Macaca fascicularis: one gene and its partner. The protein of the gene in region 1 interacts with the protein of each later gene in a pairwise test. Links are inferred from orthologs where the notes say so. Each region holds a gene or a part of one and is shown on either strand. Other genes may lie near its edges. The genes, in order: HDAC6 and ERBB4.

Region 1 (15,811 bases):
AAAGAGAGAGTGGAAGAAAGGATGTCAGAGAATAAGAGACTTCAATGAATTTCTAGAAAGTAGACTTTGAGATTCCAGGAGCCCCAGGGTGCTCTGTCTCATGCTGAGCAGGATAAGGGGGCACCCAAGATAACCTGAGGTTTCTTTTCTGGAGAAATCCAGTACAGATCCAGGTCAATGCACACAAAATCCCTTCTGAAGAGCCCCACCGAATCACCAATGCACCAACGTTATTTGTTTAACTACTTAGTTTTAGATCATCTGCTTTCCTTGTCTTCACAACAGCATTTTAAGGACTGTCCAGTTTGTCTCCCTGCTGCTGGAGTTCAGAGACTGAGAGATGGGGAGCTGGGAGATTCAAGGGTATGGACATGTTCTTTTTGTTTGTTTGTTTACACATGTTTGTTTATAAGGAAGAATGCACTGAATGTGCACACAATGTTTCACATCTGTGTGTGTAGTCAATAGTGTACCCACGAAAGAACACACAGCTATAGCCTCCTATGCATTTATTCAAACAAAAAGAATGATTAATGATATTAAAGAATTCTTTGAATGACAGACCCTTGGCAGATTGAGAAAATAATTCTTGTTAATTTTCAGGTATTGATACTAAGGTAATGCTTTTCTAAAAAAGTATACTTATGTTTTAGAGATGCATTCTGAAATATTTACAGGAGAAATTATATGGTAGGTATCTGGGATTAGCTTTGAAGGAAAACAGGAAGAGGGCAGTGGGTACAGGTATAGATGAAATGAGATCGGCCAATGAGTTGATAAATGTTGAAGCATTCAATTCCAGAAGCCAGAAATGAACAAAATAAAGAATGTAGTAGGAAAAAAATAATAAAGATAAAACCAGAAAAATTAATGAAGTATTAAAAACCCACCATAATAAAACAGTAGAGATGACCAACAAAGCCCAAAGCTAGACTGGGAAAGGTAAGTAGAACAGACACACCTTTGGCAAGGCTGAGGGAAAAGAGATGCTACCCCAAAGAAGAGGCCTCCTTTGTTCTGACATCTGGCAGGATCCCATCTAATGCCCGGGTACTTGCCCACACTCACTAACGTTGCAACCTGTCAGTGGACATTCCCTGTCCCCATTCTGGGGAAATGCCTTTCAGGAAAACAGATCTACAAACACCGCAGCAGCAGCGTAGTCCTCTGCTCCCTACAATGGGCCTTCATTCTTGGGTATAAATAGCCAAATAAGGATTGCTAGACATTTGAGGGAAACCATCAGCATAAAAGAGAAGGACCAAGAAAAAATAATTCAACCAGCCTCAGAATAAAGAGACATAATTCAGACAACAGAAGAAACTTAAGGCACTTCTTTTTTTTTTTTTTTTATTTAAAGACAGGGTGTCCCTCTATCACCCAGGCTCGAGTGCAGTGGCACGATCTTGGCTCACTGCAACCTCCGCCTCCTGTGTTCAAGTGATTCTCCTGCCTCAGCCTCCCGAGTAGCTGGGATTACAGGTGCGCACCATCACGTCTGGATAATTTTTGTATTTTTAGTAGAGATGGGGTTTCACCATGTTGGCCAGGCTGGTCTTGAACTCCTGGCCTCAAGTGATCCACCCACCTCGGCCTCCCAAAGTGCTGAGATTACAGGCATGAGCCACCACGCCCGGCTGGCAATTCTAATTCATACTCTATAAAAACAAGATCAGGAATGAGAGGGCACAGAAACAGAGAGGAAGAAAGAGCTTTTGGAGTTTAACAGAATATCTAAATACATAATTCAACAGAAGAGCTTGAGGATAAAGTTGACAAAATCTCCCAGGTCACAGCAAAAGAAAAAAGAGACAGAAAACATGAGATAAAAAATAAGAAGCCTGGGCAATATGGTGAGACCCCATCTCTACAGAAGATTAAAAAATTAGCTGGGTATGCTGGTGTGCACCTGTAGTCCCAGCTACTCAGGAGGCTGAGGCATGAGGATTGCTTGAGCTCGGGAGGTCGAGACTGCAGTCAGTCACATTTGTGCCACTGTACTCCAGCCTGGGCAACAGAGCAAGACCTTGTCTCAAATAAATAAAAAAAAAACTCAAAAAGAGATAGACATAGAGGATCAACCCAGGAAGTCTAACATCTGACTAACAGAAGTCCTAGAATGAGAACAGAGAAAACAAAGAAGAAATTATCAAAGATCTAATAGAGAATAATTTCCAAGAATTTAAGAAAAGCATGAATCTTCAGATGTAAAATGTCTACCTACTACTGAGCAGAGTGAAAAGGCCAGGGTAAAAGTTTAGAACATCAAGGCTAGGTACAGTGGCTCATGCCTGTAATCCCAGTGCTTTGGGAGGTTGCAGTGGGAGGACACTTGAGGTCAGGAGTTTGAGACCAGTCTGGGCAACATAGTGAGACCCTGTCTCTACAAATAATTTAAAAAATTAGCTGGGTGTGGTGGCACATGCCTGCAGTCCTAGCTACTTGGGAGGCTGAGGCAGGAGGATTGCTTGAGCCCAGGAGTTTGAGGTTACAGTGGGCTATAATCTCGCTACTATACTCCAGCCTGGGTAACAGAGTGATACCCTATCTAATAAAAAAAAAGAAAGAAAGAAAGAAAAAAGAACACCAAGATAACCTTGCAGAGCAGAAAGTAGATTACTTGTAAAGGAATGAAAAGCAGACACCTGTCAGGAACACTGAATGCTGGAAAATAGTAAAGCAATGTCTAGAGAACAACCAACCTAAATTGGATTCTTTTTTTTTGTTTTGTTTTTTGTTTTTTTTTTTGGTTTTTTTTTGAGACTGAGTCTGGCTCTGTCACCCAGGCTGGAGTGCAGTGGCCGGATCTCAGCTCACTGCAAGCTCCGCCTCCCGGGTTTACGCCATTCTCCTGCCTCAGCCTCCGGAGTAGCTGGGACCACAGGCACCCGCCACCTCGCCCGGCTAGTTTTTTGTATTTTTTAGTAGAGACGGGGTTTCACCGTGTTAGCCAGGATGGTCTCGATCTCCTGACCTTGTGATCCGCCCGTCTCAGCCTCCCAAAGTGCTGGGATTACAGGCTTGAGCCACCGCGCCCGGCTTAGATTCTTCAGATGTAAAATGTCTTGGATAAGTGGATTCTCTGTAGTCAGCTGGGTAGAAGGCTAGATAAAACAACTACTACAGGTTGAGCATCCCTAATCTAGAAATCTGAAATGCTGTAAAATCCTAAACATTTTTTTTTTTTTTTTTTTTTTAGATAGGGTCTCGGTCTATCACCCAGGCTGGAGTGCAGTGGTGTGATCTCAGCTCACTGCAACCTCTGCCTCCTGGGTTCAAGTGATTCTCCTGCCTCAGCCTCCTGAGTAGCTGGAAATACAGGTGTGTGCCACCACGCCTGGCTAATTTTTCTGTGTTTTTGTAGAGACAGGGCTTCACCATGTTGGCCAAGCTGATCTTGAATTCCTGACCTCAGGTGATCCACCTGCCTCAGCCTCCCAAAGTACTGGGATTACAGGCATGAGCTACCGCGCCTGGCCCTAAAATCCTAAAGTTTTTGAAGGCCAACATGATGCTCAAAGAAAATGCTCACTGGGGTATTTCGGATTTTGGGTTTTCAGATTAGGGATGCTCAACCACTAAATATAATATAAATATTTCAAAATCTGAAAAAATCTGAAATTTGAAATACTTCTGGTTCCAAGCACTTCATATAAGGGATAATCAACCCGTACTTAGTAATGTCCCCTACTCACAAGGACTTGCTCAATCACTTTCTGCAGGAAGGGTAAACTGGTCCCCTCCTGGAGGGAAGTCAGACAGTGTATACCAGACTTTAAAGTATGCTGACTTTTTGGCCCAAGCAATCCACTGTTAGAAATTCATCCTACAGATAGACTTAGAGAAGTGCAGAATTACATATTTACTAGCCTATTCACAGTAGAAGTGCCTGTAATAGCAAAAACTGGGAAGCATCTTAAAAGTCCTGGTGTTAAATAACCAGAAGTACAGTCATAAAATTGAATACTACAAAGAACAAGATACTTTAAGGGGTACTAACATGGAGAAATGTCCCAGATATAGATATGCTGTTAAATGAATAAAGCAAGTTGTCGAAGAACATGGGGAGAATTATTCCATTAGGCAGTGTTATTAATAATTATAACAATAATAATAAAAATTCAGACATCTGTAGAAAAAAATCTGTAAGGATATAACCTAAACTGTCAACACTTATTTTTGAGGTAATGGAAATTAGAGGAGACTCACTACTTCAGACACTTCTGTATTATTTAATTTCTTTAAACAAATAGTTTGTTATTTATTTATATTTATTTTTTACTATCTACTGAAAGGATAAACAAATTTGAAGCATTATCCTAATCAGAAAAAATAAAGCACTAATTTGAGGTTCACTCCAGCTCAAGGGTTAATCAGTGAATAAGATCTTCAAATATTTGTGGGTCAAATCCCATCTCTCCCAGTTCTTCTCTGTGTGACCTCTTAACCTATAAGCCTCAGTCCCCCTATCTGTAAAATGGGGAACCCAACAGTCCCTGCCTCAGAGTGAAATTAGGAGAGACGGCAGACACACAGAAAGTAGCACAGATCCTGATCCCAGGATAGGCCCCATGAATGTGAATGCTTTTTCCTCCCTCTGGACCCCTTCTGGCTGGGCCTGTAAGGGTGGGAGGTGGCTGGGAGTCTAGCACCTAGGTGGGAGTTGGGGTATACCTGGGGTCCTGGTCGAAGGTGAACTGTGTTCCTTGACCGTGGTGCACATCCCAATCTACAATAAGGACCCTAGGAGCAGGAGAGAGAGGGGACTCTGTGCAAGGGGATCAAGGTGAATCTGGGGGAAGAGCCCAGAGCAGGACACCCCACCCCATGCCACCCCCATCACATCTGCCCTCTGCTGCTGACCTCCGGATGCGGTGTTTCTGTTGAGCATAGCGGGCTGCCACAGCCACGTGGTTGAACATGCAATAGCCATCCATAAGACTGTGCTGGGCATGATGTCCAGGAGGCCTGGGCAAGACAAGAAAGTAACAGCCTGGAGTGTGTGAGGGGTCCTCCTCTTCAGAGACATACTATCCCCTGCTCTCTAATCCTGGACCACCAATTCCTTTAATGCTGATGCCTAAAAATCTGCTGGGAACTGAGTAATGGAGCCCCTCAAACTCTCACCCCCTGCCAATCTACCCCTGTTTCCAAAGGAGATTTGAAAATGTTCATTAAAATGATAAAGGCCGGGCATGATGGCTCACGCCTGTAATCCCAGCACTTTGGTAGGCCGAGGCGGGTGGATCACGAGGTCAAGAGATCGAGACCATCCTGACCAACATGGTGAAACCCTGTCTCTACTAAAAATACAAACAACTAGCCAGATGTGGTGGCGGGCGCCTGTAGTCCCAGCTACTCGGGAGGTTGAGGCAGGAGAATCACTTGAACCCAGGAGGCGGAGGTTGCAGTGAGCCAAGATTGCGCCACTGCACTCCAGCCTGGTGACAGAGCAAGACTCCGTCTCCAAAAAATAAATAATACATAAAAATAAAAATAAAATGATCAATGCATACATTCTCAAACCCAGTCACTCTGTTGCAGGAACTTAGCCCACAACCTATATTTTAAAAAGGGTGAAGTAACATTTTTATTTTATGTTAGTATAAAATAACATTTTATTTTTATAAAGGTACTAGTATATTTGCTGTAGCATTTTTTCTTTTTTTTTTTGAGATGGAGTCTCGCTCTGTCGCCCAGGCTGGAGTGTAGTGGCCGGATCTCAGCTCACTGCAAGCTCCGCCTCCCAGGTTTATGCCATTCTCTTGCCTCAGCCTCCCGAGTAGCTGGGACTACAGGCGCCCGCCACCTCGCCCGGCTAGTTTTTTGTATTTTTTTAGTAGAGACGGGGTTTCAGTGTGTTAGCCAGGATGGTCTCAATCTCCTGACCTCGTGATCCAGCCATCTCGGCCTACCAAAGTGCTGGGATTACAGGCTTGAGTCACCGCGCCCGGCCTGCTGTAGCATTTTTTTTTAAAACAGCAAATGACTGAGGAGAACCAAAATGCCCATTAGTCGGGAGCTGATTAACAAAGAGTACATTTACACAATGGTGTTCTACCGGGCTCCAAGATACATGCTGTCAGAGAAAGGTTTCCAAGATGTGTAAGTGAAAAGATGGTACGAAGGGAGTATGTCGTGTTACTACCATTTGTGGTTAAAAACAGGGGAGGGAGGCCGGGCGCGGTGGCTCAAGCCTGTAATCCCAGCACTTTGGGAGGCCGAGACGGGCGGATCACGAGGTCAGGAGATCGAGACCATCCTGGTTAACACGGTGAAACCCCGTCTCTACTAAAAAATACAAAAAAACTAGCCGGCCGAGGTGGCGGACGCCTGTAGTCCCAGCTACTCGGGAGGTGGAGGCAGGAGAATGGCGTGAACCCGGGAGGCGGAGCTTGCAGTGAGCTGAGATCCGGCCACTGCACTCCAGCCTGGGTGACGGCGCGAGACTCCGTCTCAAAAAAAAAAAAAAAAAAAAAAAAAAAAAAAAAAAAAAAAAAAACAGGGGAGGGAGGAGAAACCTTTTGCATTTCATCAATTCTGGGATGCCAACGATGATAAGATGTACCATGATTTTACATGCCAAAAACAAAGCAGAAAATACTGCCAATGGAATTCTGAGATGTCACTGTTTGTAAGATGCATCTGGATTTCAAGATGTTACAGATATGAAAAAATGTACACCTTAGAATCAATGAAATATGGTATTTATTTCTTGAATAAGACTTTGTGGGAGGACACATGAGTCAGTGGTTCCAATGACTACCTCCCATGAGAGGAGGCAGGTGTCTGGGTGACAAGGATGGGAGACAGATTTTTAATTATATTCTCTTTTGTACCTTTGGATTCTTGAATCACATGAATATATTACCCATATCAATACATTTTACACTTGAAGGAAGGACTTTAAAACAATGTAAAAAGTCAAATGCTGGAGAGTCCTACCTAATGATGGCCATGCCATTCCGGATCTCAGCCCCCAGGACCGCATCCACCAGCCTGAGGACAGAGCCTGAGGCCAGGCAGGCACAGGAGTATGAGTTCTGGAGAGACAGTGGGGAGCCAGAGAGGGAGTGAGGGAGAGAACAGCCCTATCCACTCAGCTGCTTGCCCCAGGGTAGGGTGGGCATAGGGATAGGGACCCCAAGATTGCCACCATTCCCTGCCCCCACAGTTCTCATCCATACCGGATGCAGATAAACTGAGTCGTAAGTGTCTGCTAGGACGCGGAGTTCTCCCTCATTCATGTACTGAGTTGTTTCCATCAGATCAATATATTCTAGGCTAGACACAGATGGGAGATGAGATTCAGGGCCCTGTCTCTTCCCCACCTGAGCCGTCCACACACCAAACCCCTGGTCAAATTAGGGCTCGGCTCCCCCAACTGTCAACCTGAAGGAATAGCCGGGATTTAAGATACATTCTGTTTCTTCCCTAGCCCGCCTCAGTTCCAGTAATATTCTCTGCTCCCCTGCTCTAGCCATACCAAATCCTACTTTCAGGCCTTTGGCCACTCTTGTCTAGCTGTCTGTTCTTCCCTTCCCTCAGTCACCCTCTTCATCTGACTCACTCTTTTTCTCCTCTTAAAGCTCAGCTCAGATACCCACTCTGCCAAGCTAGCTTTCCTCGAGCCACACAGCACCAGGCCTCTAAATCTGGGTTCCTGCAGCCCCTGGGGAAACTGTCCACACACCCACCATCACTCTGTCCACACATCCACACATCCACCCGATCACTCTGTCCACACATCCACCATCTGTTCAATCAGATCATGATAACAGTAATAGCTCATGATGGACTGATGATACATCAGGCCCTGTTCTAAGCACCTGACACACATCGAACTCTCCTGAGGAACTTAAGTTTACTGGTTCCCTTGTTACAGGCGATGACATAGATTCAGAGAGGCTCAGCGACTTGCCCAAGGCTGGCCACAGAGACCATGACATTCCTTCCCAAAGCGTTTAGCTTGCCCTGGTTTGTCCAGGGCAGGCTCCTCCCCATCCCTACAAGGCTCCCAAGCCTTCACCTGTGAACCAACATCAGCTCTTCCTTTTCAGCAAACCGGGCCTGGGGAGAGATGAGGAATAAAGGCGGGATAAAGGGTTAAGGCATGGGCTGAGCCCAGGTCAGGTCAGCTCCCTGCCCTTTACCCAGAGTGTTGGCTTGGGGGCCTTACCTGAAAGGACACACAGCGATCTAGGAGGCCCTCCTGGATCAGTTGCTCTTTGATGGCATGGAGCCGCTCAGGGCCTTCCGGGAAGCTGGGGAGATGGAGACACAGTCACAGATGCATGGGGACACTGGGGAGCTCCACATCTGCTCTCTCCACATCTCCCCATCCACCCTTCCACAGCTGCTTACCCCAAAACTGTGGTGTGAGGCCGGGCGTGGTGGCTCAAGCCTGTAATCCCAGCACTTTGGGAGGCCGAGACGGGCAGATCACGAGGTCAGGAGATCGAGACCATCCTGGCTAACACAGTGAAACCCCATCTCTACTAAAAAATACAAAAAACTAGCCGGGCGAGGTGGCGGGCGCCTGTAGTCCCAGCTACTCGGGAGGCTGAGGCAGGAGAATGGCGTAAACCCGGGAGGCGGAGCTTGCAGTGAGCTGAGATCCGGCCACTGCACTCCAGCCTGGGAGACAGAGTGAGACTCTGTCTCAAAAAAAAAAAAAAAAAAAAAAACAAAACTGTGGTGTCAGTCCTGCCTTCCATCAGCTCTGGAGTGTGACCCTCTCCTCACCACTGCCACTGCTACTACTATACCCTCCTGCCTGGGCTGTGGTGGCATCTCCTCGGCCTCCCTGCTTCGACCCTCGCCACCTCAACAGTCCTTTCTGTGCATGACAGCCAGACACTGGTTAAAACCCTAATCAGTTCATGTCCCATTTTTTTTTTGAGGCTCCCATCCCATTCTGAGTAAAAGCCAAAGTACTTCCCATGCCCAGAAGGCCCAAAACTGTCTGTTCTGCATCACCTCTCTGACCCCATCTCCTACCCCTCTTTCTTTCCTTTGCTTCGCTTCACCTACACTGGTCTCTTCCCTGGTTCTCAGTCGAACCAAATACTCTTCAGCCAGCCCTAGAACTTTACTCTAGCTGCCCCCCCAGCCCTGCCTAGAATACTCTTCCTCCAACTGTCTCCATGACTTACTCCCTCACCTCTTCAGATCCCTGCTCGAATGTCAGTGAGGCCTGCCCTGACCAGCGTATTGAAAATTGAAGTCTCCTCCACTGTACTTTCTCCTACTATCCTCCCTTTACTGCTTCTCCATAACACTGCCCTTTTCTACCACAGTGCATCATTTACTTTTCGTTTATTTATTGTCTGTCTTCCCCCTTTTCCCTGAAGGCACGGGCTTTTGTTTGTTTTGTTTACTGCTGCATTCCTAGCTCCTCAATAGATGGTAAATAGGTATTCCATAAAAGAAGTCTTTTCCCATAGTAAGTTACTCTTAGGTTGGGATAAGGGATATAGATATTAATTGGTAAACACACAAGTATGACAATTAGCAAACAATGTCATGGGCTAGGAAAATAAGATCAGGTACTGGGGTAGGGTTTGGTCAGGCAAAACCTTCTCTGAGAAAGTCTCATTGGGATGTGAAAGGTAGCTGGAAGAGAAGACCGAAAAGAATCTCTGGGAAAGGGGTTGGTCAGGGTACAGACCAGAGGTAAGAGGGTGCCTGGCATGTTGGAAGAACAAGGGGACTAGTGTGGGTGAGGAGGATTGGCTGATGAGGTCACAAAGTGATGTGGAGCCAGATCATGTGGAACCTTCGAGGCCACGATGAAGAATTTGGACTTTACCTTGAGGGCAACAGTTTGCCCTTAAAGCAATTTTTTTTTTTTTTGAGACAGAGTTTTGCTCTTGTTGCCCAGGCTGGGGTACAATGGCACAATCTCGGCTCACTGCAACCTCCGCCTCCCAGGTTCAAGTGATTCTCCTGCCTCAGCCTCCCAAGTAGCTAGGATTACAGGTGCGTGCCACCACGCCTGGCTAATTTTTGTATTTTTAGTAGAGACGGTGTTTCACTGCGTTGGTCAGACCGGTCTCGAACTCCTGACCTCAAGTGATCCACCTGCCTTGGTCCCCCAAAGTGCTGGCATTATAGGCGTGAGCCACTGTGCCCGGCCTCCTTAAAGTATTTTAACAAAGACATCATCTCATACATATTTTTTTAGGTTGCTGCATGAACAGACAATAGAGGTGAGGCTGGAAGCAGGGGACCACGGAGGAGGCTTCTGCAAGTCTAGGTGAGTGATGATGATGGTGGCAGTGGAGGTGGTGAGGAGAGGTCAGAACATATAGTCAAAAAGATTTGCTGATTCTTTTTGAAAAGTAAAGCAAATGGGAGGTTTCATCCTTCTGTTTCAGTACAAACGTCTCTTCCTCTATAAAGCCTTCTGGGAAGCCTGGATACTAGTTTAGGATCCTCTTTTATACACCCTTGAATCCCCTGGTCTTTAGTCTGTTTTCATTAAACACATCATACTGCTCTTGGCTGTTTAATGATCTGCCCTCCTACTCATCAATCCGCTCCTAGAGAAAGGACCCTGTCTATTGTTTGGTACATTTGTATCACCAACTCTTGGCACACAATAGGCAATAAATGTTTGTTAGCTACACAGAAGAACCCTTTCAAGTGTGAGCCCTACCTCTCCAAATCATCTGCTTCCAGTATCCAGGCTGGGGTAAGAAAGGATTTATTCTTGCTAATGGGCTCTAAATGTGTGTATTTTTGTGTTTTGGAGACAGCCTGGAGGACCCAGCCTCACCTGTCATCCCAGAGGCAATGGAATTCATTTAACTGCTCATCCAACACCAAGCCAGTGCCAGCCAGTGCTTCAGCCTCAAGGTTCAGATCCTGCAGAGGAAAAAAAAAAAGGACATACAGATCCATTTCAGGCCCTGAGTCAGAGGGAACTGTCCAGGGTTGGGAACCTTTGGGTTTTGATTGTCATAGGAGTCTAAACTGCAGCCAGGCCCTGCTCACCATCCCTTGCAGTCCCGCGATTAGGTCTTCTTCCATTGCTTGGCCGAGCTTCTTCATTTTGCCTTTCTTCTTTACCTCCGCTAGATTGGGGATGGAGCGGGGAACGGCTCCCTTTTTAATGTTTCGCTTCTGTGAATCAGAGAGAAGGGTCAGAGTCCAGGGAATGACCAACTTGCTCCCTCTCCCCCTCATGAGGGCGGGTCTAGGGCCTCACCGAAGTGACACTGGAGTCCTGAGGGGGAGATTGGGGGTTCTGCCTACTTCTTCGCTGCCTGGTTGTGGTAGAATCCTGGCCGGTTGAGGTCATAGTTGAGGAGGCTTGACCCCTGCCGCGGTTCTGGAGAGGTGGGAGCGTGGGTATGTGAGGGGGCTAGTGTGCCCTGAGGACCCCACCTCTCTGCCCTTTTCCAGGCTCCGCCCCCTCTATTAGATTCCATTCCTTACACGATCTGATTCTCCACAGCCTTCCAAACTCCGCCTCTCTCAGGCCTTCTCCCTCCACTCAGGTGGCCATTCTACCTGGCCCCGCCCGGTCCGCTAGACTCCACCCCTTTTACAGGATTCTCTTTCCCTAGTCTTGCCCTTTCACTGAGCAATGAGCCCCCTGGCTCACTCAGTCCGTTTTAGGGCCTGCCCTTTCCAACCAATCACCGCCCCTTCCACTCTCCCAAACCCCATTCCCAGACCCTCTAAGCCCGGCCCAGACCCCATTCCTTCACGAATCTGCCCTTTCGGCCTACCTCCCGGGATAATCACCCACCCTCTCACTCAGCCGGCCCCGGCCCCGGCCCCGGCCCCGGCTCCACCCTTAACGATTCACTTAACTCCACCCCTCATCGGGCCGGACCGGTACCTTCCACTCCGCCAGATCCCGCCCCTAGCGTTTCAACCAGCCCCGCTCCTCAGGGGACTGCCCCGTTCCTTCAACCAGCTCCACCCCCTGCCCAGACCCGACCGCTAACGTTTCGCTAACCCCCTTCAGCCAGTCCCTAGCCGCCTTCGGTCGGCCTCCGCCCCCTTCCCGCCTCCGCCGTCGACGCGCTGTACTCGCCGCTCCACTCACTGGACGCAGCCCCTTTCTCAAACTCCGCCCTTGGCTCGCTCCGCCAAGTTTCTGGCGACCCGTGGGGACGCGAGCGCCCTGGCCTTTCTTTTCCATTGGGCCTGGTCTCTCGACTGCCCGCCCAGATCCCGCCTCCAGAGGGGAGCGTGCCTCAAGGCCGCGCCCCTCGCGCGAGCCACACCTCTCGCGAGCTCACAGGCGGCGGGGGAGCGAGGCGGGGGAGCGCGCCAGCGTGCTACGCCAGCTGTGCTGAGCCACACCTCTCGCGAGCTCACAGGCGTCGGGGCGGTGCGTCGGCGTGCTACGCCAGCTGTGCTGCGCTTGCGTAAAACGCAGGCGCCGGCAGTTCCCAACGGGACTGAGGCGCAAGCTTTCCCGTGCCTCGGCTACCGTCGCTGTCGTCCTGGATGCCATAGCCGCCGCCCCTCCGTCCCTGTCCAGTCACTTAAGAGCCCTTCGGGCCGGCGGTGTCGCGAAAGGAAGCAAGGAAGCGAGGGAATTAGGAAGGGGCGTCTTCTCTTTTCCCCGCGACTTCCCGCGCGACACGCCCTGATGACGTAGAGCGGGCGGGCTGGTTGTGGCTGGGTCGAGAGCGAGGTTGCCACTGGATTTTGGCTGGCGGCGGCCAAAATGGGCGTGGTGACGATGCTAAATGTTGTGAGGATTTTCCAAGTTAATATTCACTACGGTGGTACACAGGAAGCGCTCGCCGAATGTTAGCTATTAATATTCTGCCGCAATATTCTGGGTGGAAGGAGTCTTAGTGGGGGCAGGGAATGGTAATGATAGCAAGTATTATGTGACAGGCATCGTTGTAAACCACAATTCTATGAGGTAGTTCCCATTATTAAGACTGCTTTGCAGATAAGGAAACTGAGGTTACGGGACTTAACCATGTGACCTTGGGCAAGTTACTGAACAGCTCTGTGCTCCGTTTCCTCATCTGGAAAGTTGTGATAATAATAGTGCCCAGGGCCAGAATGGACTTGAGGAGGGGAGTTCTCATGGGCAGCAGCTCTCCCTATCTGCCCCCTCCAACGGGTAACCACTGCTCCCAAGCAGTAATAGAAAGTGTGTGTGAGTCTGGGGAGCTGTCCCTGGGCACCCTGTCTCCCCCGCAACTCCCACTCCGTGTCTGAATGTCAGCTCTGCAGGAGGCCGGTTTGTCCTCTAATCTCCCTCTCTCATTCTCCACCATTTCCTACCAGGCTATAAGCTGGGACCGGAGAGATAAGCAGTTCGAGGGTTCAGCATCAGACTGACAGATTGACGGTCTCACCGCCCAGTAGCTGTGCCCTCTAATCCTCTTGATGGCAGTTCCTGACGCCGATTCCCTTTCACCCCTCCTACCTGAACCTATCTTTTGTCTCAGCGCAAAAGAGTTGCAGACCTAAGACCTTTAAACCCCTACACTCACCAAAGAAAACACATACAATGATAACACAGTACAAAAAATTTTACAGTTGTGATACCTGCAGCCTAAAAGAGTAGGGAGTCTTGCAAAGGGTCAAGGCCCATTTTTCTGTTGGATCAGAAGAGAGGTTTCTGTAGAGCAGGGGTCAGCAAACTTTATAAAGGGACAGAGAGTAAACATCTTAGGATTTGCAGGCCACATACGGTCTCAGTGGCATTTTTCTTTTTTTCTCTCTCTTTTTAAAACACAACTTAAAAATGTAAAACAGCCCACAGTCTGGCTTTGGCTTGAATGCCGTAGTTTGCCGGTCTGTGCTGTAGTGTCAGGCCTTGATCGTCTCTATCTGGCTGGGATTCTTTTACAGGATTGAGGGAAGGGGCCTTTTCTCCTTTTGTGTGAGGTGTGTGAGGACAGGGATTCATGGGCAGGGTCAGGTCACTTCTAGTGTACCTCTGGTGGGTCATTTCAAATGTGCCCCCTGATCCTCTTGATCAGACAGAGTGAGGACAGGGATTCCAGGGATTCCTATGGTTTCTATATTATTGTTCCTTTACTGAATCAAGCAGGGGTTTCTAGAGAGCTCCAGACTATGGGTTCCTGTTCCTGTACAAGTTCAGGATTAAGCTTTTTTTTTTTTTGGAGACGGGACAGGGTCTCACCCTGTTGTCTAGGCTGGAGTGCAGTGGTGTGAACACGGCTCACTGCAGCTTGAACCTCTTGGGCTCAAGCTATCTTCCCACCTCAGCCTCCCGAGTAGCTGGGACTACAAGTGCATGCCACCGTGCCTGCCTAATTTTTTTTTCTTTATAGAGATGGGGTCTTGCCATGTTGCCCAAGCTGGTCTCAAACTCCTGGACTCAAGCAGTCTGCCCGCTTCAGCTTCCCAAAGCGCTGGGATTACAGGTGTGAGCCACCGTTCGGGGCCAGGATGGGGCTTCTTAGACCTATGTTATGACAGCTTCCTACAAAGAAATCAGGTGGGCCAGTACTGAGTCACAGGTGTTTCTGTATAGGTTCAGAGCTTGTGTTCATATAGATAGTAAGATCAAGTGTGTAGATTTCAGTCAAGAGGTTATTACTGGCCAGGCAGAATGGCTCACACCTGTAATTCCAGCACTTCAGGAGGCTGAGGAGGGCAGATTGCTTGAGCTCAGGAGTTCGAGACCAGCTGGGCAACATTACGAAACCCCGTCTCAATAAAAAACACAAAAATAGCTGGGTGTGGTGGTGTGCATCTGTAGTCCCAGCTACTTGGGAGGCTGAGGTGGGAGGATCGCTTGAGCCTGGGAGGGGAGGCAGAAGTTGTAGTGAGCCGAGATTGTGCCACTGCACTCCATCCTGGGTAATAGAGTGAGATCCTGTCTCAAAAAAAAAAAAAAAAAAAGGAGATTACTGGCCAGGCATGGTGGCTCACACTTGTAATCTCAGCACTTTGAGAGGCCTAGGTGGGCAGATAATTTGAGGTCAGGAATTTGAGACCAGCTTGGCCAACATGGTGAAACCCCGTCTTTACCAAAAATACAAAGATTAGCGGGGCGTGGTGGCATACACCTGTAATCCCAGCTACTCAGGAGGCTGAGGCAGGAGAATCTGGGAGGCGGAGGTTGCAGTGAACCAAGATTGCGCCACTGCACTCCAGCCTGGGCGACTCCGTCTCAAAAAAAAAAAAGAGATTATTGTTAATTAGGCTAAATTATCCTAGCTGCTGTAACCCAGAATTTCAGGGGCTTAACAAATAAATGTTTATTTATTGCTCATTCAAAAGCCAATCTGAATATTTACTACTGTTCATTCATGGACCCAGGCAAACTCTATTTTGTGACTCTGTCCTCCTTTAGGTCCTTGGAGTTAGTTGGTTTTCAGTTGGTAGACAGGGAAAGAGAGAAAATGGAGGATTGCATGAGAGATTTTTATGGGCCAGGCCTGGAATTGGTATATGTCACTTCTGCCCATACTCCATTGGTCAGAACCCGTCTTGTGCCCATATCTATCAGCAGGGGATGTTGGAAAAGGTAGAGTGAGCTCAGGAAGAACAGGAACAGATTTCAGTGAGCTTATAGCAGTGTCTGCTATAGGGTTCCATAGACCCCACAGACTTATGCTGTTCTATATGGTAGCTACTAGCCACATGCGGCTACTGCTCTTGAAATGTGGCCAGTCCAACTTGAGATGATATGCTATAAATGTGAAATGTACACCAGATCACGAAACTCAGTATAAAAAGTTTATAATAGCTCAGTAATTTTTATATTGATTACATGTTGAAATGATAATATTTGAATAGATTGGGTAAAAAATATATTGATGTTATTAACAATAATTTTATCTGGTTTTTT
Region 2 (15,811 bases), on another chromosome or scaffold:
TCTAACTGAAAAGAATTACTGAGAAGTCTTTGAGAAACTCCTAGAAGTTCTCCTCTTTAGATTTCTAGCTACATGCATTAGCTAGTAGCTAAGTGATAATTAGGAAAAGGTTCAATTATCACAACATGCTAATGAAAATGAATATAAACATGCCAAAAAAGAGAAAGTTGCTAGAACAAACCAAACAATACAAAAATTTAGAACTTGCACCAGGGTAAAGAAATCAATTCTGTGTGATAACTAATCTCAAGAAGGGTGACACAATTCTTGTTGTTATCTTGAATGAAGCTAAGGAATGTTGACATTAGTGGAAAATTATATTTCTTTATGCCCTTTCTTTTTTGACTGTGCTAATAATATTCTTTGATTCCATCACATAACATTGCTCAAAGAAGCAACTTAAAGCAGAAACCTGTAAAGTGAGGGGAATGTTCAGCTTCATTTTATTGACTCATCTAGCCATGAATATTTTAAAAGGAAATATCCTCTTGTTCTACTGATATTTGGAAAGGGTACAGGAATTGCTGCCTGGGGATACAATAGCTTACTTACCCTCAGTGAAGCAGGAAGAAGAATTTATTGACTAAGCCTTGTACTAGGAACAATAAATCCATAATCAGGAGTGCTGTCATGAAAAATCTTTGTGCTCTCCAGTTATTTAAAATTGTCTCTTCCTGCTTCAGGGCTGGCTTTGCTCTTGGTGAGGTAGGTAAATGTATATATACACAATATGATTTTAGATAAAAAGGACTTGTAAGAAAGAATGGAAAAATACACACACACACACACACACACACACACACACCCTATTAACTCTTAATACTCAAAGTTTCCTTCTTTCCAGTTTATGTCCTTGTAACTAATTTAAGTGAAAAGTGGGGTGGAGCAATACTGTAATGCATTATCAGCATTTTATACCTAAGGTAATGAGTTTCGATGTGCCTACTTAAGTCATTAAGTTCTTTTCACTAAAACTAGAAAAAGAAACTAAGAATTTGAGAAAATAGTTGAAGCATAATACAAAGGAAGAGAGAGGGCAAAGATGAGTAAGAATAGAAATGCTAAAGTCAAAATCTATGTGCGGTATAATGTAAAGGTCATAGAGTGACGGGCTTTGTGGTCAGATAGCCAACTATGGATGTGTGCACACGGCAGATCCTTTAATTTCTCTGCTCCTCAATTTTTTTGTCTATAAAATGAGAGTTATAATTTTTAATAATGCTATTTACCTTGCAAGTTTATGAGAATACATAAAACCTAAAATAGTCCAACGTATAGGGTGGGTACATAATACATATATATATATATGTGTGTGTGTGTATACATATATGTTAGTTTCTCTATTTCTTTTTTTTTTTTTTTTTTTTTGAGACGGAGTCTTGCTCTGTCACCCAGGCTGGAGTGCAGTGGCCGGATCTCAGCTCACTGCAAGCTCCGCCTCCCGGGTTTACGCCATTCTCCTGCCTCAGCCTCCCGAGTAGCTGGGACTACAGGCGCCCGCCACCTCGCCCGGCTATTTTTTTGTATTTTTTAGTAGAGACGGGGTTTCACCGTGTTAGCCGGGATCGTCTCTCGATCTCCTGACCTCGTGATCCGCCCGTCTCGGCCTCCCAAAGTGCTGGGATTACAGGCTTGAGCCACCGCGCCCGGCCTCTCTTTCTATTTCTTAATTTCCCTAAGAGTCATCATGTATTCATCTATGAAACAGAATAGACTCAAAATAAAGTAGACTTTGAGGACTGACTTAAGAAAAGTGGGATTATTAAGCATTATAGAAGACACCATTTTCATATGCTTTGTAAATTCTGTCCTGACTCTTGTTCATATTTACAGATACCACTCATAGCTTCCATTTATTAAATTTTTTAATTAAATGAGTACATGAGACATATACGAAAGATGAAAGGTTCCAAGATTAATGAGTGAATAAAGAATGAGAGCTGGCCAGGCACGGTGGCTCACGTCTGTAATCCCAGCACTTTGGGAGGCCGAGGCAGGTGGATCACGAGGTCAGGAGTTCAAGACCAGCCTGACCAAGATAGTGAAACCCCATCTCTAAAAATTAGCAAAGCATGGTGGCGGGAGCCTGCAATCCCAGCTACTCGGAAGGCTGAGGCAGAGAATTGCTTGAACCTGGGAGGCAGAGATTGCAGTGAGCCGAGATCGCACCACTGCACTCCAGCCTGAGTGACAGAGCGAGACTCCGTCTTGAAAAACAAACAGCAACAAAAAAGAATAAGAGCCCAAGTCAATATTTCTTCAACTGGACCATAGAGTCATTATTGGGTGTGTGTGTGTGTGTGTGTGTGCAGAGTAAGAGAGATTGTTCAAAAAAGTATAGTCCCACAGAATCAAACCAAATAGAAAAATGAGTAAATAAATATATGTATACATAGACAAAAGATATTATGTGTAATATATATAAAATTCAGCCAGCAGCTGAAATCTCAATAGACTTCTCCCAGCCATTTTTGGGTTTGGCACATATGGACACATTTTCTTTGTTTCCTTCTGATTGCCCTGTGAAAAATGAAGGTTCTAAATCTAAATGTCTCAAAACACTGGTATGTTGAACTCAGTTGTGAGAAAGATGCAGAGTTACAACCATGCATCAGGAATTATAATTTATAATACAATAATTATAATAACCTAATGCAATAAACATTTTCTGTATGCTGCCTTGTGACCTCTGAAAGTGTGGAAATGCCTATCAGAGTGTTAAGCAGATATGTCAGGGAGGATAAAGGGTTGAGAACCTTTAATAGTTTAATACTTCCACTATGTGGAAGTGTCTAGATAATAAATTAGTGCTGATGGATTAGCAACGTCTTATAGAGACATTTTATTTTAGTCAAAAGAATTTGGAGTATTTCTTGAACCTAGAAATTGTAATCTTATAATTACTGTTGAAAGTAATAGTTATTTAAAGATTAGAAAATGACTCTCATTGATCACATGTTTAATTTAGATAGAAGCTAGGCATTAGGCCTGTATTTTTGTTTCCTCTGAAAGTAGATTTGTATAATAACTTTTTTAAATATCACGAGATACAGTCCATCTATTTAATAATTAAAATTTCTCAAGAACACTATAAACAATACAAATATAAGAAATACTGTGCATAAAATGTGACAAAGGTTCTAATATTTATCATTCAACAAAAAAGTAAATTTTAGAACATGATGTATTTAAAAGTGCATTTAATACTGTATTTGATTTGTTTGCTGATACTTGCCTTCTCTGTAATCTCCGGCATTTAAATCCAAGTTAATCATACAATGTCCCAGTGATATGGCCACAGAATTAAACTCATTCCATCCATCACCCTTACAAACGCCCCCCACCAGGAACAAACTCAGTGTCACCTGCCAGTTCGTAACCCACGTCTTTCTATCTCTGCCCTGCTGACAGTAAATTGCCTCACCAGCTAATTGAACAGATGCACCCAGTGCTGCTTCCTAAAGATCTGCAAAGCTGGACTTTGATGGACAGCAGAAAGTAGCACAATGGAAAAACAAAAGCTTTTAACTGAGAGCATTGCTTTGTTCTGCTTAGAACTTTAAGGTCACTCCAGCTCATTTTGACTGCTGTGAGGATCTTAATTTTTACTCAACCAATTTACTTGCAGCTGTCATTCTTTCCAATATTAAAAGTTCAGCTCTTCAAGTGTGGGGAATTGAGGGAGAGAGAAATGAGAAGAGCTTGTTTCAAACTAAAAACAGCAAAAACAAGTAAAATCTGGCTTGGCTCTGAAGTACAAAAAGTTATTTTCAAAGCTTATAAATTATGACATCGTGATTAACATGTAATTTAAATATATTTAAACAACAATTATATCACATTTCCAGCCCAGCTAATTGGCCTCACAGATGTTCCCTTGGAGCTGCATTGCCCTTCCACGGGGAAATGAATGAGGTGCTTTTTATCATGGAAAACAGATAAAAAAGCAAACTGAAAAAATGGAAACAGAAACATAAAAAGCAGCCAGTAACCCTAAAAACAATGAATGCTAAAGGGGTTTTGCTTAGCATTTTTTTCCATTTTAATGCTGAAAACAGGAAAATTCATGAAGATGCTCCTATTACTGTGATGCTATTTGGCAGTTTGTCCAGATATGGAGTTGGCAGGTTGCTGACTGAAAGACTTGTCAAAGCAGGGACAGTGGATGCATTCTAATAGGGCATGGCCTCGCTTTCTGTCTTGGAACAGACTAACCGCAAGAGTCCCAGTTACTTTAATCCATTGCCTTTACAATGGAAGCCATTCTAGCCCAGATAATGAATATAGATAATAAACTGTTCCCCGATGAAGAATGACTTGTAAGTTGTTCCTTTGATTGTTTATGTCTCAGGTTTTGTAAAGTGCAAAATGTGCAATCAATACTCATTTCTCAGCTGTAATTCTAGTCAAACATTACCCAGTACAGCAACTTTTGCAAGGTAAGAGGTCAAAGGAGCACTAGTAATTATGAATATTTTGGAATACCTTGCATTCTAATATAGAATAATAGAATTGAAATAAATTGCCTTGTTTCATTCTTGCCTTTTCTTCCAACAATCTCAGATTATAATCGATAGTGTAAATTCTAAAAGGACAGTGGTCATGTCTTTCTTAGTGTATCGTGGTATCGCTGGCATCTACCACAGTGCCTGTACTTTTACTGTAGAAATTTAGTAATAGTTGTGAAGTACTTGCCAAATAATTGGTGTTTAATGAAGAGGGTAAGGCCAATGTTTGTAGTTTGGTGAAGTTCCACCAGGCAGTTCCATATTTCCTGTACTGTCACTCTATATTACAAATCACTGGACTATAAAAAATTCTCTACTCAAATTTTAAGAACAAATGTACTGGATTTCAGGTATTTCTAAAATATAGTAAAACATGCCTATATTTAAGATGATTAGAAAATAGATGAGCATTTTAAAATGCCTCTTTGATGAGTAGCTTTGGCATCCTGATTGCTTTATTTTAGAAATTCAATTTAGTGGATATGAATATTTAAATGTGATATTTACATTTTTATAATAGTGCAGAGTTTACAAAGTTAATTTATATGCATTATCTTACTTCATATTTATTAATAATAAAATAGAGAGGCCAAGAATGAAAACGAGGGTCTGAGATGTTTCATGATTCACCAAATTCACACTACTTATCATTGGAACTAAAGCCCAGGTCATTAAACGATCTGTCTGTTGCACAGTAGCACCTCCTATGTATTGCATATTAAATATATCTCTGACTTTCCATGTCATAATCTTTGATGTGTTGTTAGTTATGTTACTAAAGAAGAAAATAGATAAATATTCTAATGCCACCATAGTTATGGGGAAAATTAAAATATAAACTCACTATAAGGGTTCAGACCGTGTCCCTTGATTAGTCCAGCAGACTAAGTTAGTTAAGGGAGATTATATTATCCAGTTGTTACTGATTTACTTTAAATACTTAATCTCCATGGGACCATATTCTTCTTAGAATGCTTCGTGAATCTAAATCATATGAACAGTGACCTGGAATAATATTTATCTGTTTCATATAAAAGATGTTAAGTATCTGTAATCCCAGCACTTTGGGGGCTGAGGCAGGTGGATCACGAGGTCAGGAGATCGAGACTATCCTGGTTAACACGATGAAACCCCGTCTCTACTAAAAGTACAAAAAATTAGCTGGGCATGGTGCCAGGCACCTGTAGTCCCAGCTACTCGGTAGGCTGAGGCAGGAGAATGGCACAAACCCGGGAGGCGGAGCTTACAGTGAGCCGAGATCCTGCCACTGCACTCCAGCCTGGGCGACAGGGCGAGACTCATCTCAAAAAAACAAACAAAAAAGATGTAAGGTATCTTAGAGGTTGATTTTAGTCATCTCTGTTTACTTAAAGCTGGATTGTAGAGAATATGAGCTTCATAAAATCAAGCGGTTTGGGTCTGTGTTTTGCATTATCCCTGTGCCTAGAAAAGTGCCTGGCACATAGACAGTAGGTTCTCAAAAAATGTGTTTAATGTATTTTTTTAATTAAGAAACAGAATTAGTATCATACAACTCCTTTTCCTTACCCTAAAGAACACTGTCCTTCATATTTTATTATATTTTTATACCCTCTTTCAGTTAGCCCATAGGATGGAGTGTTAAGCTATAAAAATATACATGTATTTTTGTTGTTGTTTCTTTAACTGAATCTGATTTTGACTCATTATAAATACATAAGGGGAATCTAAAGCATGTTTCCAGGAAATGAATTGATTTTCCAAATTTTCTGCTGTTTCTTAACTTAAAAAAAAAAGTAAGACTGAAGATAAAATAGCATATACCTTTTAATAAGGAGAGGCAAAAGAGTTTACCCTTTGCTGAAGTGGTGAAAAATAAATGTAGCTTGATAGCAAAAATTACTGCAGGCAAATCGAAATCTCCTGCTATCTCCTTCCAGAAATATTTATTCTAAGAGAAAAAATAACAGCAGCGTATATGGCCATTTCAATCTTTTGACATGTAAAGAAGGAAACCATTTCCTATTTACATCAATAGTTTATTTACTACTTTTTCCTTTCCAGTAGGGTTAATCAGAAGAAAGTTTATTATTTACTTTCTAATCCATTGAAAAATTTTGCTTTTTCTGTATAATTTGCCTTTTCAGGGATTGAATTAAAATATCTATTTTCCTCAAAACATATAAATAAGCTTGCTTATGGTCAGAATACAGACAATGTTACTGCTTAGGAAGCTTCACTGTTGTGCACTTTTCCCCCTTTGGTTCATACGACTCATGTGGCTTTTCTTTTTCGTTTCTTTTTTTAATTTTTTCATTCATATTGCCTCTTATTATATCCATCATTCCATTTTTCTTTCCTATTAGAGTGAAATTGGACACAGCCCTCCTCCTGCCTACACCCCCATGTCAGGAGTAAGTATTTCACAATCAACCTTCATCTTTTAGGATTTTTGGTCTTTGCTTACCATGTTTCCTCTCTCTTGTCTCTGCACAATTTCCTCATTTTGCCTTTGCCAACAGTGAGTTAAGAATTTGCTGTACATTGTGTAGCTGCCTTTTTAGATGTGTTTTTATCTCAGTTGATAATATAAAATTGAGATCTCATGCATCAACAGTAGCTTTCAATTTTTATCTGAAGGATTTACCTGCGCATATAAATTATGCTTCTGGATGTGGAGGTGATCTTTACTTCCCTGAGTATAGGTCATGTACTAAAAAGTCAGAATTATAGTGATGATCCTCTGGTTAGGTACTAGAGCCTCAAATTCATAATAACCACAGAATTTTAGAAGGCAATAAAGACAAAGGATTATTCAAAATATATCCATGTACTTCTATTCTTAATGACAACTGTCTATAATGACACTCCCATTTATCATAAAAATTCACTTTGAAGTTTATATTAAATACAGGCACTTGTGGGAAAAGGGCATCAAATACTTTTTATTAGATTATGTTACAGTTGGTTAATAAAACTAAAATGTGTACTTCAAAATTATTTTCTGATGATTTATCTTTTAAGAAAAGCGGAAATTTTAGGTGTTTCTAGTTTGTAACTCAAATTCATTAGCCACTAGGGAAAAATAAATAAATACTATGACTATTCTCTAAAAGACTGGCTTTGACATCCTTGTGGCTATTAACATTCATTTTTAAACTATTTCTAACAACACCTTCTCTCTAAATATGTTTCTCTTATTAACAGAATCAGTTTGTATACCGAGATGGAGGTTTTGCTGCAGAACAAGGAGTGTCTGTGCCCTACAGAGCCCCAACTAGCACAATTCCAGAAGCTCCTGTTGCACAGGGTGCTACAGCTGAGATTTTTGATGACTCCTGCTGTAATGGCACCCTACGCAAGCCAGTGGCACCCCATGTCCAAGAGGACAGTAGCACCCAGAGGTACAGCGCTGACCCCACCGTGTTTGCCCCAGAACGGAGCCCACGAGGAGAGCTGGATGAGGAAGGTTACATGACTCCTATGCGAGACAAACCCAAACAAGGTACGAACTGATTATTCAAAAATGATTGCCATTTGAAGTTCACTTCCATCAAGATAAACAAAGTACAGAATGGAAATTGCCAGATAGCTGTACAGCACAACATTTGTGACCTAGTAAAGGCCTAGGCTACTGCTACTTGCAGTATGGTCCCTGAATCAGCAGCATCCACATTATTTATTATTATTTATATAAATCAGAATCTCAGGCAGGCCCCATCTGAATAGGAATCTGAATTTTAACAAGATCCCCAGGCTATCTGCATACAGCAATGAGTCTTGAGAGGCACTATTCTAAACATATTTTGTTGAAATATTTGAATGAGGTAGCAGACCACAAAGTGTCAGGACCATAGCTTTATTGGACTTAATTGTGGAGATCATAAAGACTGGTATTGTTGGCAAATGTGCCTGATGCTTTTGATGGCGCTAATAAATGATTTGTTTGACTCATTTAAAAGGTGTCATTTAAACAACCTAGTTTATTATAGGAAAATATTATGTTTTTATATGACATTTTTCAAAAATTAAAGTTTTGACCCTGTATATACTTACAAGCATACCATCAAGATTTGAAAATAATAGTTTGTGGTTTTACAAAGCACAACAATAATTTTGTAAAGTTAGTAGTAGAAATGTTAAGCACCCAAATCAAATAATGCTTCAATTTTGCAACAAAACAGCTTTTCTTCTTCTACGCTAACAGTATCACAATAGAGAAGATAGATGATTGTTATTAAAAAATGATGATCATGTCTCTCGCAGTCTTTAGTGTCAATAGTAAACTACATTTTGAAACTCTGAGAAGGGCTTGTTATAAGGTTATGTTCTCTCCTTCAAAGTAAAATTTAAAGATCTCTAATTGTAAATAACCTTTTAAAATATATCTGTCTAGATAAAACTTTTACATATATAAAACTTTTACACATATAAAAATGTAATGAAGAGTTTGGATGTTCATAGTAGCCTAGTAATGGCACAAATGTAGATTTTATGAAGATTTGGTGGATTCACCCCAAAGAAGCAGCTTTTCTGGGGACATTTTCACTTCAACCGTAAAGTTATTGGACAGCTATACAAGTTTGCATCAGGATAATATATAAGTAGATCGCATTGAGGAAAGGTAATGTAAGGCTAAGAGAAAAGCAAGTCACCCTATATAGTCACACTGTATTCTCAGATTTTATCTCTGAACGCTAAGCTCCATTTCTATAAAAGATTGCTATAGTCTCACCTCATACTCAGAGAGTACAGAATTTTAGTATAGACATTCCTATTCTTTCAATTAAGAAGTTTCAGAAATCTGGTAAGAAAGATCAAATTCTACATTGCTTATAAGTGTTTTCATATGCTTGTCAAAGTAAAACTTGTGGCTAAGCATAAAGTTCACCCAACTCCTGCAGGGGCAATAATAACAAACAGTGCAGTAGAATAAGAAGATTACTCAAGAGGAGTTAGAAGACCTGAATTCCATCCCAACACTAATTGTATCCTGCATACATCACTTAATCTCATTTTTCTGTCTACAAAGCTGGAAAAATAAGTCTTGTACTTCTTTTTCACAGAATTGTGAGGATGAAATGATAGTGTCTTGTAAAGTCCTATATATGATAGTGGGATATTCATTACTGCCCTTTCACTTGAATAAATGATGCTAAATACTTACCTATTCTGTATATATACATTTGGAGAAAAATAATCCTGGCTTAATAGAATTTTTCTCTCTACTTGTTGGGCTAAGGATAAGAGATAGAAAGTTTGTTTCAGAATGGCCTCTCAACAAGGAATTGTGTCCTCCTGATGCCTTGAATTCAAAATAGGAATAGCTTAGGGCTTTGCATATATAGTAAAAGAGAAGACTATTTAGAGGACCTACAATATATATGTGTATATGTCTATGTGCAGTTTATATTATAGACATAAATGTATTAAGAATTAATTAAGATTCAGGAGAATGGTGGTAATTATTAGCACCGTTTAGGCCAATACCTATACTAGATGGATTTATTAGATTGATCCATACAAAATAGGCACTAATTGACTGATTTCAATATACAAAATGGCTGTTTCATATGATTCAAGCTGATAGTTTGCCATTTTGTGATTATGATTGGTCAATGGAAATATTATAATTATACTTTATTATTAAGTAGAAGTATATGTAATGTCAAGCAAGTCCGCTAGAGGCATGTTAGCTATCTGTTAGATTTGCTTTTTTAGTTTAATTTTTTTCCTTTGATGCTTTCTTTTCCATGTGTAAAACTTTTGTCAGGAGCATCTCCAATCAAATCCTTTTTACCAGTATAGGCAACCATAGCAAACCATAGAGACTAATAAAACATGATTTCTTCACTCCATCTATTCATCTTGGCATGGAACTCAGCTATAGACTCTTTGGTTTTTCAATATCCTTTATAGAAATTAAGCTGTCTGTATATTTAAAGGCTATTTAATCCTAATAGGTAGTCTTATTTCCTAATATAAATAACTTTTAGAAAACAAGAACATTGAAACAATCAGCCCCATATGCAGAAGAGACAAATGCAATTAGAAAGAAATAAAAATTTAGGAGATAGAAATTCTGATTCTGGCCTCCTTGGCTTCTTGGTTTTTGTAAACATGTTTGGCCCCCTTACTCTTTTTTTCATAAGACCATGGTAATCCACAAATAGTTGTGAGAAATCATGAAAACAAATCTGTGGGTTTTTGTTCTAGACAAAGCAGCTAACCATTATGTATAACTTTGCTCTGATTAATATTTTCCAGAAAGTAGAGGTTAGCTGATTTTTTTTTATTCCTTTAGAATACCTGAATCCAGTGGAGGAGAACCCTTTTGTTTCTCGGAGAAAAAATGGAGACCTTCAAGCATTGGATAATCCCGAATATCACAGTGCATCCAATGGTCCACCCAAGGCCGAGGATGAGTATGTGAATGAGCCGCTGTACCTCAACACCTTTGCCAACGCCTTGGGAAAAGCTGATTACCTGAAGAACAATGTACTGTCTGTGCCAGAGAAGGCCAAGAAAGCGTTTGACAACCCTGACTACTGGAACCACAGCCTGCCACCTCGGAGCACCCTTCAGCACCCAGACTACCTGCAGGAGTACAGCACAAAATATTTTTATAAACAGAATGGGCGGATCCGGCCTATTGTGGCAGAGAATCCGGAATACCTCTCTGAGTTCTCCCTGAAGCCAGGCACTGTGCTGCCGCCTCCACCTTACAGACACCGAAATACTGTAGTGTAAGCTCAGTTGTGGTTTTTAGGTGGAGAGACACATCCGCTCCAATTTCCCCACCCCCTGTCTTTCTCTGGTGGTCTTCCTTCTACCCCAAGGCCAGTAGTTTTGACACTTCCCAGTGGAAGATAGAGATGCCATGATAGTTATGTGCTTATCTAACTTGAACATTAGAGGGAAAGACTGAAAGAGAAAGATAGGCGGAACCACAATGTTTCTTCATTTCTCTGCATGGGTTGGTTGGGAGAATGAAACAGCTAGAGAAGGACCAGAAAATGTAAGGCAATACCGCCTGCTATCAAACTAGCTGTCACTTTTTTTTCTTTTTATTTTTCCTTTTTTTTTTTTTTTTTTTTTTTAAGCAGATGGTTGAAACACCCATGCTATCTGTTCCTATCTGTAGGAACTGATGTGTGCATATTTAGCATCCCTGGAAATCATAATAAAGTTTCCATTAGAATAAAAGAATAACATTTTCTATAACAAACATATGATAGTGTCTGAAATTGAGAATCCAGTTTCTTTCCCCAGCAGTTTCTGTCCTGGAAAGTAAGTATGGCCAACTCAAATTTCATAATTTAAAAATCTCCATCAAAGTTATAACTAGTAATTATGTTTTGAAGCCTTTTTGTTTTTTTTTTTTTCATTTTGTTTTGCTCTGACCAATTCCTTTATATTTGCTCCCCAATTTTTGGCTTTAATTTCTAATCGCAAAGATGTTTACATCAAAGCTTCTTCACAGAATTTAAGAAATACTTTAATATAGTGAAATGACCACTACTTTACGTATACAATCTTTAAAATAAGAAAGGGAGGCTAATATTTTTATTTTAGCTCTCATTTTTCATGCTATCAAATTATCTTCACCCTCATCCTTTACATTTTTCAACATTTTTTTCCTCCATAAATGACACTACTTGATAGGCCATTGATTGTCTGAAGAGTAGAAGGGAAACTAAGAGACAGTTCTTTGTGATTCAAGAAAACTACTGATACTTTCAGGGTTGGTCCAATGAGGGAATCTATTGAACTGGAAGAAACACACTGGATTGGGTATGTCCACCTGGCAGATACTCAGAAATGTAGTTTGCACTTAAGCTGTAATTTTATTTGTTCTTTTTCTGAACTCCATTTTGGATTTTGAATCAAGCAATATGGAAGCAACCAGCAAATTAACTAATTTAAGTACATTTTTTTTTAAAAAGAGCTAAGATAAAGACTGTGGAAACGCCAAACCAAGCAAATTAGGAACCTTGCAATGGTATCCAGGGACTATGATGAGAGGCCAGCACATTATCTTCATATATCACCTTTGCTACGCAAGGAAATTTGTTCAATTCGTATACTTCATAAGAAGGAATGCGAGTAAGGATTGGCTTGAATTCCATGGAATTTCTAGTATGAGACTCTATTTATATGAAGTAGAAGGTAACTCTTTGCACATAAATTGGTATAATAAAAAGAAAAACACAAACATTCAAAGCTTATGGATAGGTCCTTGGCTCAAAGTTGTAAATAAATGTGAAAAATCTTCTCATGCAATTATTTTATTATCCAACACACTAATCTTTTGATACTTTATATAATTCCTTTTCTTCATATACTGCATCCAGTACTAGAACCATCATTATTATGTATCATTTTGAAAGAATACCTGATGATGAAGGATGGGAACAAATGACAGAGATGAGTCTTCCAAGTAAAGGGGGCCTCACATCAATAATTAGGAAACTTAGATATAAGTCCCCCTTTTCTGAAAATTCTACCCCAAGTCATTTAGATTTTTTAAAAATACTTCTTTCTAATGTTAAAATATTGGGACCAAATTAGAGTCAATAGTATAAGATTACTTAATTAGAGTAAAAATATCTATTAAGGCAGAGAAAGTTTAGAGAAAAAAAAATGCAAAGAAATTTGTTTCTTCCTATTCTGAATAAGTAAATCCATCCATCTATCCAAATCTCCTTTATCTAACTGTGTCTACTAAAAGCACTGTATTTTGTGGGAAACACTCAGATAAATGGAATATCATCCCCAACTTCAAAATTCTATCATCTAGGAGATTTAATTAAAATGACATTTTAATTTTTCTATGAGTTCAAAGAATCAGATTGCATAGTCTCTTTTGTGAATAGCTGTCATATAATCAGTTGCACTGTAACATATCTCCTTTGAACTCATTTGGGATATAAGTTACACATCCTTCAAATTGTTGATGTTGACAAATAGGATAATTTCAGTAATATTATTCAAACATAAACTGGTCTAGAAGAATATTGCATCACTGGCTAATTAACCTATCTAGATTCTAACTTCACCATTAAACCAAAAGCAGATGGTGGTCCTTGGCCAAGAATGATGAAGACATTGGAGTTGGTTTTCTTCTAAGCTATAAGAAGTGAGGCAAGCTGAAAAAGTACAGTAGAGCAGGGGAAGGATTTGTGAGATTCCTTCTAGGGAAGTTCACCCTCAAACTTTTCAGGATTAAAGACAGAGTGATTCAGGGGCCATAACCTAACAACTCAGAGCTCTCCTATCCATTCAGAGAAGTCTCTAGGAAAAGGAATCTCATATCAGTACTTATGAAAAATGGAATATAAGCCTCCCTTTCTAAATAAATCTGCACCGAGTCATCACAGCCCTCTTTTTGGATACTATACCTTGATTTTTTTTTTCTAATTTACACTATGCATATGGTTTCTACTGGGATATAGAAAGCAGAATCACTCATTTTGGAGAAGGAAAAAATAAATAGTTAAAACAGACTTTTAACTGTTAAGGTAACAGAAATATATTTAGTGAATGTAGTTTCTTTCCTCCTAAGAACACAAGACTTTTACATGTCGGGTAATACCTAGGGACGGAGGTAGGCATAATCCAAAATGACCCAGATGCTTTATAATAGCACCACTTTATAATTCTTTTGAATGATTTCTGTGGTATATAATTGACTTCAGTTGTTTGAGTGTTTTTTGTTTTATTTTTGTCCCCCCTGGGAAAACATATTTCAGCGTGTATAAGAGGGAGAAAAAAAGTTTCATTCGTTGCAGACAATAACTTATTTAGCCCAGTAGGGTAGAATTTTAAAATGTCAGTTAAAGTCTTCAAGGTGCTTTGGGGGGATATCAGATTCCAGAGGCCAATTGTAGCAACTGAAATTTGCAGAATCAATATGTAAATTTGAAACAAATTAGTATTAAAATTACACTGACTATATTTTTTAAATCACCCGACTTTGTAGATTATACCTATTTTGGGCAATCCTATTTTCAGGCATGGAAAAACTTTGCAGTTAAATGATTGCCTAAAGAAAGTGGTACTTAAGCAGGTGAGGAAAGATGGCCTCCGATCTAGGGTAGATCCAGAACCACAAAGCATCTGCATCACAAAAGTTGTTAGACTACCAAGCAACTCTTGGTTTTCTGCACAATATTAGTAGCACAGCTTAGGATGAGAATCTTTTCTCCAGTAACATTCTTAAACTAGCATGAAAAACAATGCAAAACTCAAATTTCTATTAAAACACACAAACCAAAATCAAGTGATTCTTTTTTGTAGATTAGGGAGAAGGACTGAATATCTAACTTAAGAGAAGAAATAGTGTTCTTCTAAATGCTATAGTGTGTGAGCTAATACCTTCTAAAAGAAAGACATGGCATGAAGATTGTGCATATTTACAATGCTAAGGAAAAATCAAGAAAAGAACTGTGAGGCTCTGCTGCTAGATGAAGTTGGAAGGACTATTAATGTGCTTCTTGAAGTATCAAAAATGAAAAGAAAATTAAAATTGTTTAAGCCTGACAGGGAAGGATGTAAATACAAGTTTTTCTAGTGCTATCTAACCTTTATTTCAAAACTGGAATTATTCATCCATCTGTAATTGTTGATAATTTAACTAGTATATGTAGTTCATAAGGTAATAGAAAAGGTGATCATGAAAGCATGTATATAACTGGACAGAACTACGATAATGCTATAAGATGTAGATTTAGTTAGGTTATCAGATGTTAAATGATTTTAATATTATTAAATAAATCAAACTAGAAAACTAACCACAAGTATAATATAGCAAAGTTAAATGCAGGATATTAAAATGTAGGATGGATTTTGCATAGTAAAAAAATAAGTTTGCCATTTAAAATTATCATTTGTTGGGTTTAGCTGAAAGTAGGCATATATGGTTCCACTTGTGAAAACTTGCTTTAAAGCATTACAATGAACAATTTTTTCTCATTCTCTTATTCCTTTATCACTTTTTAAATGTAAAGAAAATTTTATTTATTTTTTTTTTAAATAAACACCACCTTGGCCGGGCGCGGTGGCTCAAGCCTGTAATCCCAGCACTTTGGGAGGCCGAGGCGGGTGGATCACGAGGTCAGGAGATCGAGACTATCCTGGCTAACATGGTGAAACCCCGTCTCTACTAAAAATACAGAAAACTAGCCCTGCGTGGTGGCGGGCACCTGTAGTCTCAGCTACTTGGGAGGCTGAGGCGGGAGAATGGCGTGAACCCGGGAGGCGGAGCTTGCAGTGAGCCGAGATCACGCCACTGCACTCCAGCCTGGGAGACACAGCGAGACGCC

What was found.
Region 2: the proteins of HDAC6 (region 1) and ERBB4 interact in a protein complementation assay, tested with the Homo sapiens proteins (2 studies listed by BioGRID and IntAct, with this or other methods). The link is inferred for Macaca fascicularis from reciprocal best matches to the Homo sapiens genes HDAC6 and ERBB4.

Annotation. Positions count from the first base shown.
Region 1 is NC_088395.1:48,957,079-48,972,889, reverse strand, and holds the start of HDAC6 (protein deacetylase HDAC6), read right to left. Parts: upstream 12,177-15,811; 5' UTR 12,158-12,176; coding exon 11,972-12,157; exon of another isoform or gene 11,836-11,971; coding exon of another isoform or gene 11,824-11,835; exon of another isoform or gene 11,443-11,823; intron 11,336-11,442; coding exon 11,213-11,335; intron 11,128-11,212; coding exon 10,999-11,127; intron 10,870-10,998; coding exon 10,781-10,869; intron 8,265-10,780; coding exon 8,180-8,264; intron 8,071-8,179; coding exon 8,030-8,070; intron 7,285-8,029; coding exon 7,188-7,284; intron 7,044-7,187; coding exon 6,946-7,043; intron 4,969-6,945; coding exon 4,864-4,968; intron 4,744-4,863; coding exon 4,675-4,743; intron 1-4,674.
Region 2 is NC_088386.1:107,196,129-107,211,939, reverse strand, and holds the end of ERBB4 (receptor tyrosine-protein kinase erbB-4), read left to right. Parts: intron 1-6,853; coding exon 6,854-6,901; intron 6,902-7,694; coding exon 7,695-7,992; intron 7,993-10,791; coding exon 10,792-11,237; 3' UTR 11,238-15,009; downstream 15,010-15,811. UniProt on the Homo sapiens protein: Tyrosine-protein kinase that plays an essential role as cell surface receptor for neuregulins and EGF family members and regulates development of the heart, the central nervous system and the mammary gland, gene transcription, cell proliferation, differentiation, migration and apoptosis.